Macaca mulatta: one gene and its partner. The protein of the gene in region 1 binds, or shares a complex with, the protein of each later gene. Links are inferred from orthologs where the notes say so. Each region holds a gene or a part of one and is shown on either strand. Other genes may lie near its edges.

The links.
Region 2: NDUFAF1 (region 1) and TMEM126B share a complex: the UniProt entries of both Homo sapiens proteins name them as parts of the mitochondrial complex. The link is inferred for Macaca mulatta from reciprocal best matches to the Homo sapiens genes NDUFAF1 and TMEM126B.

The regions. Positions count from the first base shown.
Region 1 is NC_133412.1:18,746,479-18,750,228, forward strand, and holds the start of NDUFAF1 (complex I intermediate-associated protein 30, mitochondrial), read right to left. Parts: upstream 2,655-3,750; 5' UTR 2,208-2,654; intron 2,166-2,207; exon of another isoform or gene 1,907-2,165; intron 1-1,906. UniProt on the Homo sapiens protein: As part of the MCIA complex, involved in the assembly of the mitochondrial complex I.
Region 2 is NC_133419.1:86,224,748-86,228,397, forward strand, and holds part of TMEM126B (complex I assembly factor TMEM126B, mitochondrial), read left to right. Parts: intron 1-198; coding exon 199-320; intron 321-1,500; coding exon 1,501-1,694; intron 1,695-3,079; coding exon 3,080-3,191; intron 3,192-3,440; coding exon 3,441-3,624; 3' UTR 3,625-3,650. UniProt on the Homo sapiens protein: As part of the MCIA complex, involved in the assembly of the mitochondrial complex I. Participates in constructing the membrane arm of complex I.

The DNA.
Region 1 (3,750 bases):
CTACTCAGGAGGCTGAGGCAGGAGAATCGCATGAACCCAGGAGGTGGAGGTTGTGGTGAGCCAAGATCATGCCATTGCACTCCAGCCTGGACCACAAGAGCAAAACTCCATCTAAAAAAAAAAAAAAGATAGAGATGAGGTCTTGCTAGGTTGCTCAGACTGGTCTCCAGCTCCTGGGTTCAAGTGATCCTCCTGCCTCAGCCTCTGGAGTACCTGGGATTACAGGCATGAGCCACTGCACCTGATGAATACTACTCCCAATACTTTTTTTTTTTTTTTTTTTTGAGACAGAGTCTCACTCTGTAACCCAGGCTGGAGTGCGGTGGCGCGATCTCAGCTCACTGAAGCTCCACCTCCCGGGTTCACGCCATTCTCCTGCCTCAGCCTCCCAAGTAGCTGAGACTACAGGTACCCAACACCACGCCTGACTAATTTTTTTTTTTCTTTTTTGTATTTTTAGTAGAGACGGGGTTTCACCGTGTTAGCCAGGATGGTCTCAATCTCCTGACCACGTGATCCGCCTGCCTTGGCCTCCCAAAGTGCTGGGATTACAGGCGTGAGCCATAGCGCCCAGCCCACTCCTAATACTTTCAAATCACCCTGATATATATTATCTCATGCCATCCACACACAAATCCTATGAAGTCAGGTAGATATTTCCTTTCTATAGGATACAGACACCAATAGGTAAAATGACATTATCCATTTTTTTTTTTTTTTTTTTTTTTGAGACAGAGTCTTGCTCTGTCACCAGGCTGGATATCTTGGCTCACCACAATCTCCGCCTCCTGGGTTCAAGCAATTCTCTTGTCTCAGCCTCCAGAGTAGCAGGGATTACAGACCGGCACCACCATGCCCGGCTAATTTTAATTTTTGTTTTTTGTTTTTTTTTTCAGTAGAGATGAGGTTTCGCCGTGTTGGCCAGACTGGTCTTGAACTCCTGACCTCAGGTGATGCGCCCATGTGGGCCTCCCAAAGTGCTGGGATTACAGGCATCAGCCACCACGCCCGACCTTCTTTTTTTTTTTTTTGAGATGGAGTCTGGCTCTGTCACCCAGGTTGGAGTGCAATGGCACGATCTTGGCTCACTGCAACCTCTGCCTCCCGGGTTCAAGTGCTTCTCCTGCCTCTGCTTCCCGAGTAGCTGAGATTACAGGTACCCACCACCACGACCAGCTTTTTTTTTTTTTTTTAAGACAGAGTCCAGCTTTGTCACCCAAGTTGGAGTGCAGTTGCGCGATCTCGGCTCACTGTAACCTCCACCTCCTGGTTTCAAGCAATTCTCTTGCCTGAGCCGCTGGAATTACAGGTGTGCGCCACCACTCCCAGCTAATTTTTGTATTTTTAGTACAGACAGGGTTTCACCATGTTGGCCAAGCTGGTCTCGAACTCCTGACCTCAAGTGATCCGCCCACCTTGGCCTCCCAAAGTGCTGGGATTACAGGCGTGAGCCACCGCGCCCAGCCGACATTATCAATAAGGTTTGCTAATAAATCAAAATCATGTAAACAGTATGTTTTCACATGTATTATAAACGTAAAGGAACCAGGAAAAATTAACAGTTGATCTGAGATCCTGCAATTATGGATAATATTTAAATTCCCCCGCGCCGGTTGCACTTAAATGATTTACACATTTAAGTTACAAAATTATTTACCTCTACACATACAGAAATTTTAGAAACAAATGATAGCTCATAAAATATTTTGCAAACCCTCCGTAGTGTTATTTCTCTAGTAATATAACTTTAATTATAAATGCTTTGTTTCATTTTTTTTTTCTACCAGTAAATAGAAAATCTAACCTATTAACTGAACAATACCGCCCTGAGGTTGACGGTGGGTTTTGACAACATAATCCACGCAGCTAGAAGTGAGTCGAATTAGTAAAGATATCCACGGCTTACCATGTGCCAGAAACTGCTCTAAGGGTTTCACTGACGGCTCACAACAATCCTCAGAGAGGAACTATTATTATTTCAATTATGGAGACGAGGAAACCGACGTTCCAAGACTAATTTACCCGAGGTCACTGAGGTAGTGAGTGGCAAAACTCTTCCGCCTTGGCGTTTACCTCCGGCACTCACGGCCTGGCCTCCGAAGGCTAGACCTTCGCCGCGGTGGGGAGGCCCCGCAACCCTCAACTGCCAGGGCTCTGTCGCCTCCCCACACCCGGGACACATCAAACGCCGACCTACCACCGCTTACCTCCCCGAGCCTATAGTGTGGTTTCCAACCAGAAGCCACTTTTCACTTATAGGTCCATCTGTTTTTCCCTTCCGATGCCAAACAAGGCGTCAGAACACTAAAGTTCCGGCCGGGTACAGAAGCCCAGGAAGGAGAGCGAGGACCCGGTAGTCCAGCCAACAGAGGTTTTTGGAGGTTTTTGGTCCACTTGGTCGCCAGTTGTAAGGAAGTAGTGAGGATTCGGATAAGTTTTTCGCCTCTCCTTTCTGTATCCTTTCGGGCGGCAACTCTATCTCTGCGTCTTTTTTTTTTTGAGACGGAGTCTCTGTCGCTAGGCTGAGTGCAGTGGCACCGTCTCGGCTCACTACAACTTCCGCCTCCCGGGTTCGAGCGATTCTCCTGCCTCAACCTCCCGAGTAGTTGGGATTACAGGTGTACGCCATCAAGCCCGGCTAATTTTTTTATTTTTAGTAGAGGCGGGGTTTCACCATGTTGGCCAGGATGATCTCGATCACCTGACCTCGTGATCGACCCGCCTCAGCCTCCCAAAGTGCTGAGATTACAGGCTTGAGCCACCGCGCCCCGCCTCCTATAGAACCCAGTTATTGCTAACGCACCTGCGCCCCCACTTGGCGCCTGTATCCCTTCTTTCCTTATCTGTCCCCTCAGTCTCCACAAGAACTACCTGAGGCCTCAAGAGGCCGGTTCTACTGGAATTGCCCCCATGAATTCTTGAGGACCCACCATGCACCTGGACAGCAGCACCTCCTACCAGCCCTTCCCCAGTCCTGCCCCACAGGGTCGCCAGTTCCTCAGGGCATCTGTTTGTACCTTGTGCACACCTCTGGTAAAGCACTTTCTTTTTTCTTTTTTTTTCTTTCTTTTTTTTTTTTTTTTTTTTTTTTTTTTTGAGACGGTGGAGCCTCACTCTGTTGCCCAGGCTGGAGTGCAGTGGCGCGATCTGCAACCTCCGACTCCTGGGTTGGAACAGTTCTCCTGCCTCAGCCTCCCGAGTAGCTGGGATTACAGGTGTGTGCCACCACACCCGGCTAATTTTTGTATTTTTAGTAAAGACAGGGTTTCGCCATGTTGGCCAGGCTGGTCTTGAACTCCTGACCTCATGATCCACCCACCTCGGCCTCCCAAAGTGCTGGTATTACAGGCGTAAGCCACCGTGCCAGGCCAAAGCACTTAAACATTGTTTGTTTGGTTTTTTTTCTTGCTGCCAGGGAAGACAGAATCAACACTGTAGCTTAATTATTCACTCACTTCTCACTTCCTCCGCCACGCTGTGAGCTTTCTTGGGTCCAGACTGCGCTGTTTTTCCTTAACCAGAATGTCCCATAGCGGCGGGAATTTAGTGCTCAGTGTGAATTTGAGAGCATGTACTTCAGTAACACCTTTGTTCTCTAAGGTTCCAAAGGAGCTCACCAAATACAATAGCCCTTTCCATGTTTTCTCCATCACTAGTTTCTGGGCCGCCTCCTCTTCCTCAAATTCTGCTTGGCTTCTCTAGACTCTACAGTTGCTTCCTCAAACCTTCCCTTTCTGCCCCCATCACTGA
Region 2 (3,650 bases), on another chromosome or scaffold:
AAAGCCAATGTCTAACAGATAATAAGAGCTCAGTAAATGTTGATTGAATTATTAACAAAATATGTGAAAGCAGACAACACAGTACCTGGCACACTACTAAACTGTAAATGTTTTCAAATCTGAATCTGTAGAATTCTGTAAGGTTTTATGTAATATGAATATCATTAGCTATTATGGCTCTGGAATTTTTTTTTCCAGGATGTCAAGATGACAGCATCTATGCATGGTCAACCCAGTCCTTCTCTAGAAGATGCAAAACTCAGAAGACCAATGATCATAGAAATCATAGAAAAAAATTTTGACTATCTTAGAAAAGAAATGTAAGAGAAATACCCAGGCTGAAAATCATTTTATTTGCAAGTCTTTTGTATTGCCATTGTTTCTGAGATCCTATTCTTTGTTATCCTATTCTTTGAGTTGGTTATGAAGAACACATCCTTAAAAAAAAGAATGAGGGAAACAAGAACAGATGAAAATAGTGGTTTGTTGGAATATTTGGGATTGTGGATAATTTCTTTTGTTTCTTAAAAAGTATCCAAAAGTATTGCTAAAACATTTGTGCAGTAAATATATTTTAATTAAAAGTAAGAGAAAATCATTGGGGGGGTACTTATATTTAATTGGTGAGTAATTATAATCAGTTAAGGATTGATTATCTCAGCCACAGTACTTAGTACAGCAAAAGGGAATACAGATTTCATAGTATAAATACAGTCTCACATTAACATATTGACTTTTTTTTTTTTGAGATAAGAGTCTCACTCTGTCACCCAGGCTGGAGTGCAGTGGCACAATCTCGGCTCACTGTAATCTCCATCTCCCAGATTCAAGTGATTCTCCTGCCTCAGCCTCCCAAGTAGCTGAGATTACAGGCGTGTACCACCACACCCAGCTAATTTTTGTATTTTTAGTAGAGATGGTTTCACCATGTTGGCCAGACTGGCCATTTTGACGTTTAAATGAATGGAGTTCAAGAATAAGAAAACTAGATCAGATTTTTTTGGATGAAATTTTCTAAATCTTGGACAAATTATTTTAAATGTATCTGGGACTAATGCAGAAATAGAAGGCCTAACCAAATGTAAATAGCTTTTTTTTAGATGAACTTAAGCAAAGTAAATCTTTTAGTTGCAGGAAAGGTATTCTTCGATTTGGGTAACTCATAAAATTTGGCTACATTGGAGCATATTTATATTTATTTGTGACCAAAATTATTTAAAAGAGCTCTATTTTAGAACTACTGTAAATATTCTCAGAAAGAGAATCATGTCCTCTCATTGGAATACAAGTTCTATGAGGGGTGGGAAATTTCTTTCCTTTTCTTTTTTTCTTTTGCCTTGTTTACTGCCCTATCTTAAGCACTTAGAAAATACTTTTCACATAGTAAGTGCTCAAGAAGTATTTCATATTGAGTAAATATGCAATAACAACTTTTTAGGAAAGGCTGTATCCATTAAGTTCAATGTTACAGTGAACTGAATTTTTCTTTTTTTCTATTAGGACACCAAATATATATCAAACGACGTCATTTGGAACAACAGCTGGTTTCTCTGGAATATTCTCAAACTTTCTGTTCAGACGCTGCTTCAAGGTTAAACACGATGCTTTGAAAACATATGCATCATTGGCTACACTTCCATTTTTGTCTACTGTAGTTACTTACAAGCTTCTTGTAATTGATCCTTTGTATTCAGGTGAATTTAAATTCACTAATGTATAATGTAGTTTTGTCTAAGTAAAGTTACTGATTAACAGATGCTGTTGCTACTGCTAATAATAATTCTTTACATTTATATAGTGCTATACAGTTTACAAAGTCCCTTCATATACCTTGTCGTATTTAATCCCTGCAACAGTCCTCCTAATGAGGTAAATCGTATTTTTTTCTTTTTGTAGATAAGCAAGCAACCCAAACTGAGGCATGTTCAAGTACACTAATAAACAACATACTGGGAAAAGAATTGACTGTGGCATATAACAAACATCATTTCAGTATCCTACCTCCTGCCACTTAAGTTTTGTGACATTCAGCAAGTAATTTCATCTCTGAGCCTCCCTTGTCTTATCTATGAATTAGGACTAATAGTACTCACCTCACAGGATTTTGTGAGAATTAAAAGATACTGTAGGTTAAATGACTACCACAATATCTGTCATATTATGGGCTTTTAATGTTATTTCCTGCCCTTCACCTTACCTTGAGTTTCACAACTAGTAATTGATAGAGCCTCTATCCATCATTCATTCTTCAGGTCCCTGCTTAAGTATCTTTTCCCCAGGGAGACCTCTGATTCCCTCATTGTACATTAGGTGTCTAGATACATTCTCTATATAGTTTATCTTCAAAGTATTGTGTACACTTATAATTATTTAAATATTTATCTCATGTCTTTCATTACTGTAAACTGGCCAGAACATCAGAGATCAGGTGTCTTTTATATACCACTGTATTCCTAGCACCTAGCACATTCCTGATACATAGTAGATAATAAAAATGTATTAACCTAGAATCCAGGTCTGGTCTGCTAGTTTAGTATTCTGTCATTATAAAATTGCTTCTGGCTGGGCATGGTGGCTCATGCCTGTAATCCCAACACTTTGGGAGGCCAAGGCGGGCAGATCACTTGAGGTCAGGAATTCGAGACCAGTTTGGCCAACACAGTCTCTACTAAAAATAGAAAACCAGTTGGGTGTGGTGGTGCACGCCTATAATCCCAGCTACTTGGGAGACTGAGGCATGAGAATTGCTTGAACCCTGGAGGCAGAGGTTGCAGTGAGCCGAGATCATGCCAGTGTACTCTAGCCTGGGCAACACAGTGAGACTCTGTCTCTAAAAAATAAAATAGCTTCTACAACAACCACATATGTTAGAGGTAATTCTCTATGTGATAAAGTACAATAAAAACTTTTTTAAATGTGCTGCATTTAGCCTGTTATATGCCACAGAGTTTGAATTTCTGATATTCTTTCTATGGTTTAGTTGTGGTTGAGGATAGTGCAGATAACTACTCTGAGGTACAACACTGTCTTAATAGTTCTTGAGTTTTAAAGGAAAACCAAATTTACTTTTGTTTTCCAGAAAATATAAGCAAGGAAAACTGTGTTTTCAGAAGTTCACTGATCGGCATAGTTTGTGGTGTTTTCTATCCCAGTTCTTTGGCTTTTACTAAAAATGGACGTCTGGCAACTAAGTAAGTTGTTCCTTTTCCTTCTTTTTTACTTTTTTTTTTTTTTTAGGTTAATAAACTCTCTTTTTTCTTTAGCTGTCTATGATATATTTGAATCAAAATGTGGTCATTTGGTATTTCAGATAGCTAACTTTTAATTTTTTGCTCTCTACATTATAGACCTAGAAAGGCAGTTATCAGTTTAGGAGAAGTCAACAAACTTCTAATAGCATTCATATCCAGAAGAAGTGATTAACTCTTTTTTCTTTTTAGGTATCATACCGTTCCACTGCCACCAAAAGGAGGGGTTTTACTCCATTGGATAAGGCTTTGTCAAACACAAATGAAATTAATGGTGATTCCTCTAGTCTTTCAGACTATGTTTGGAATATTAAATGGTCTATACCATTATGCAATATTTGAAGGGACACTTGAGAAAACTATACATGAAGAGTAACCAAAAAAAATGAATGGTTGCTCACT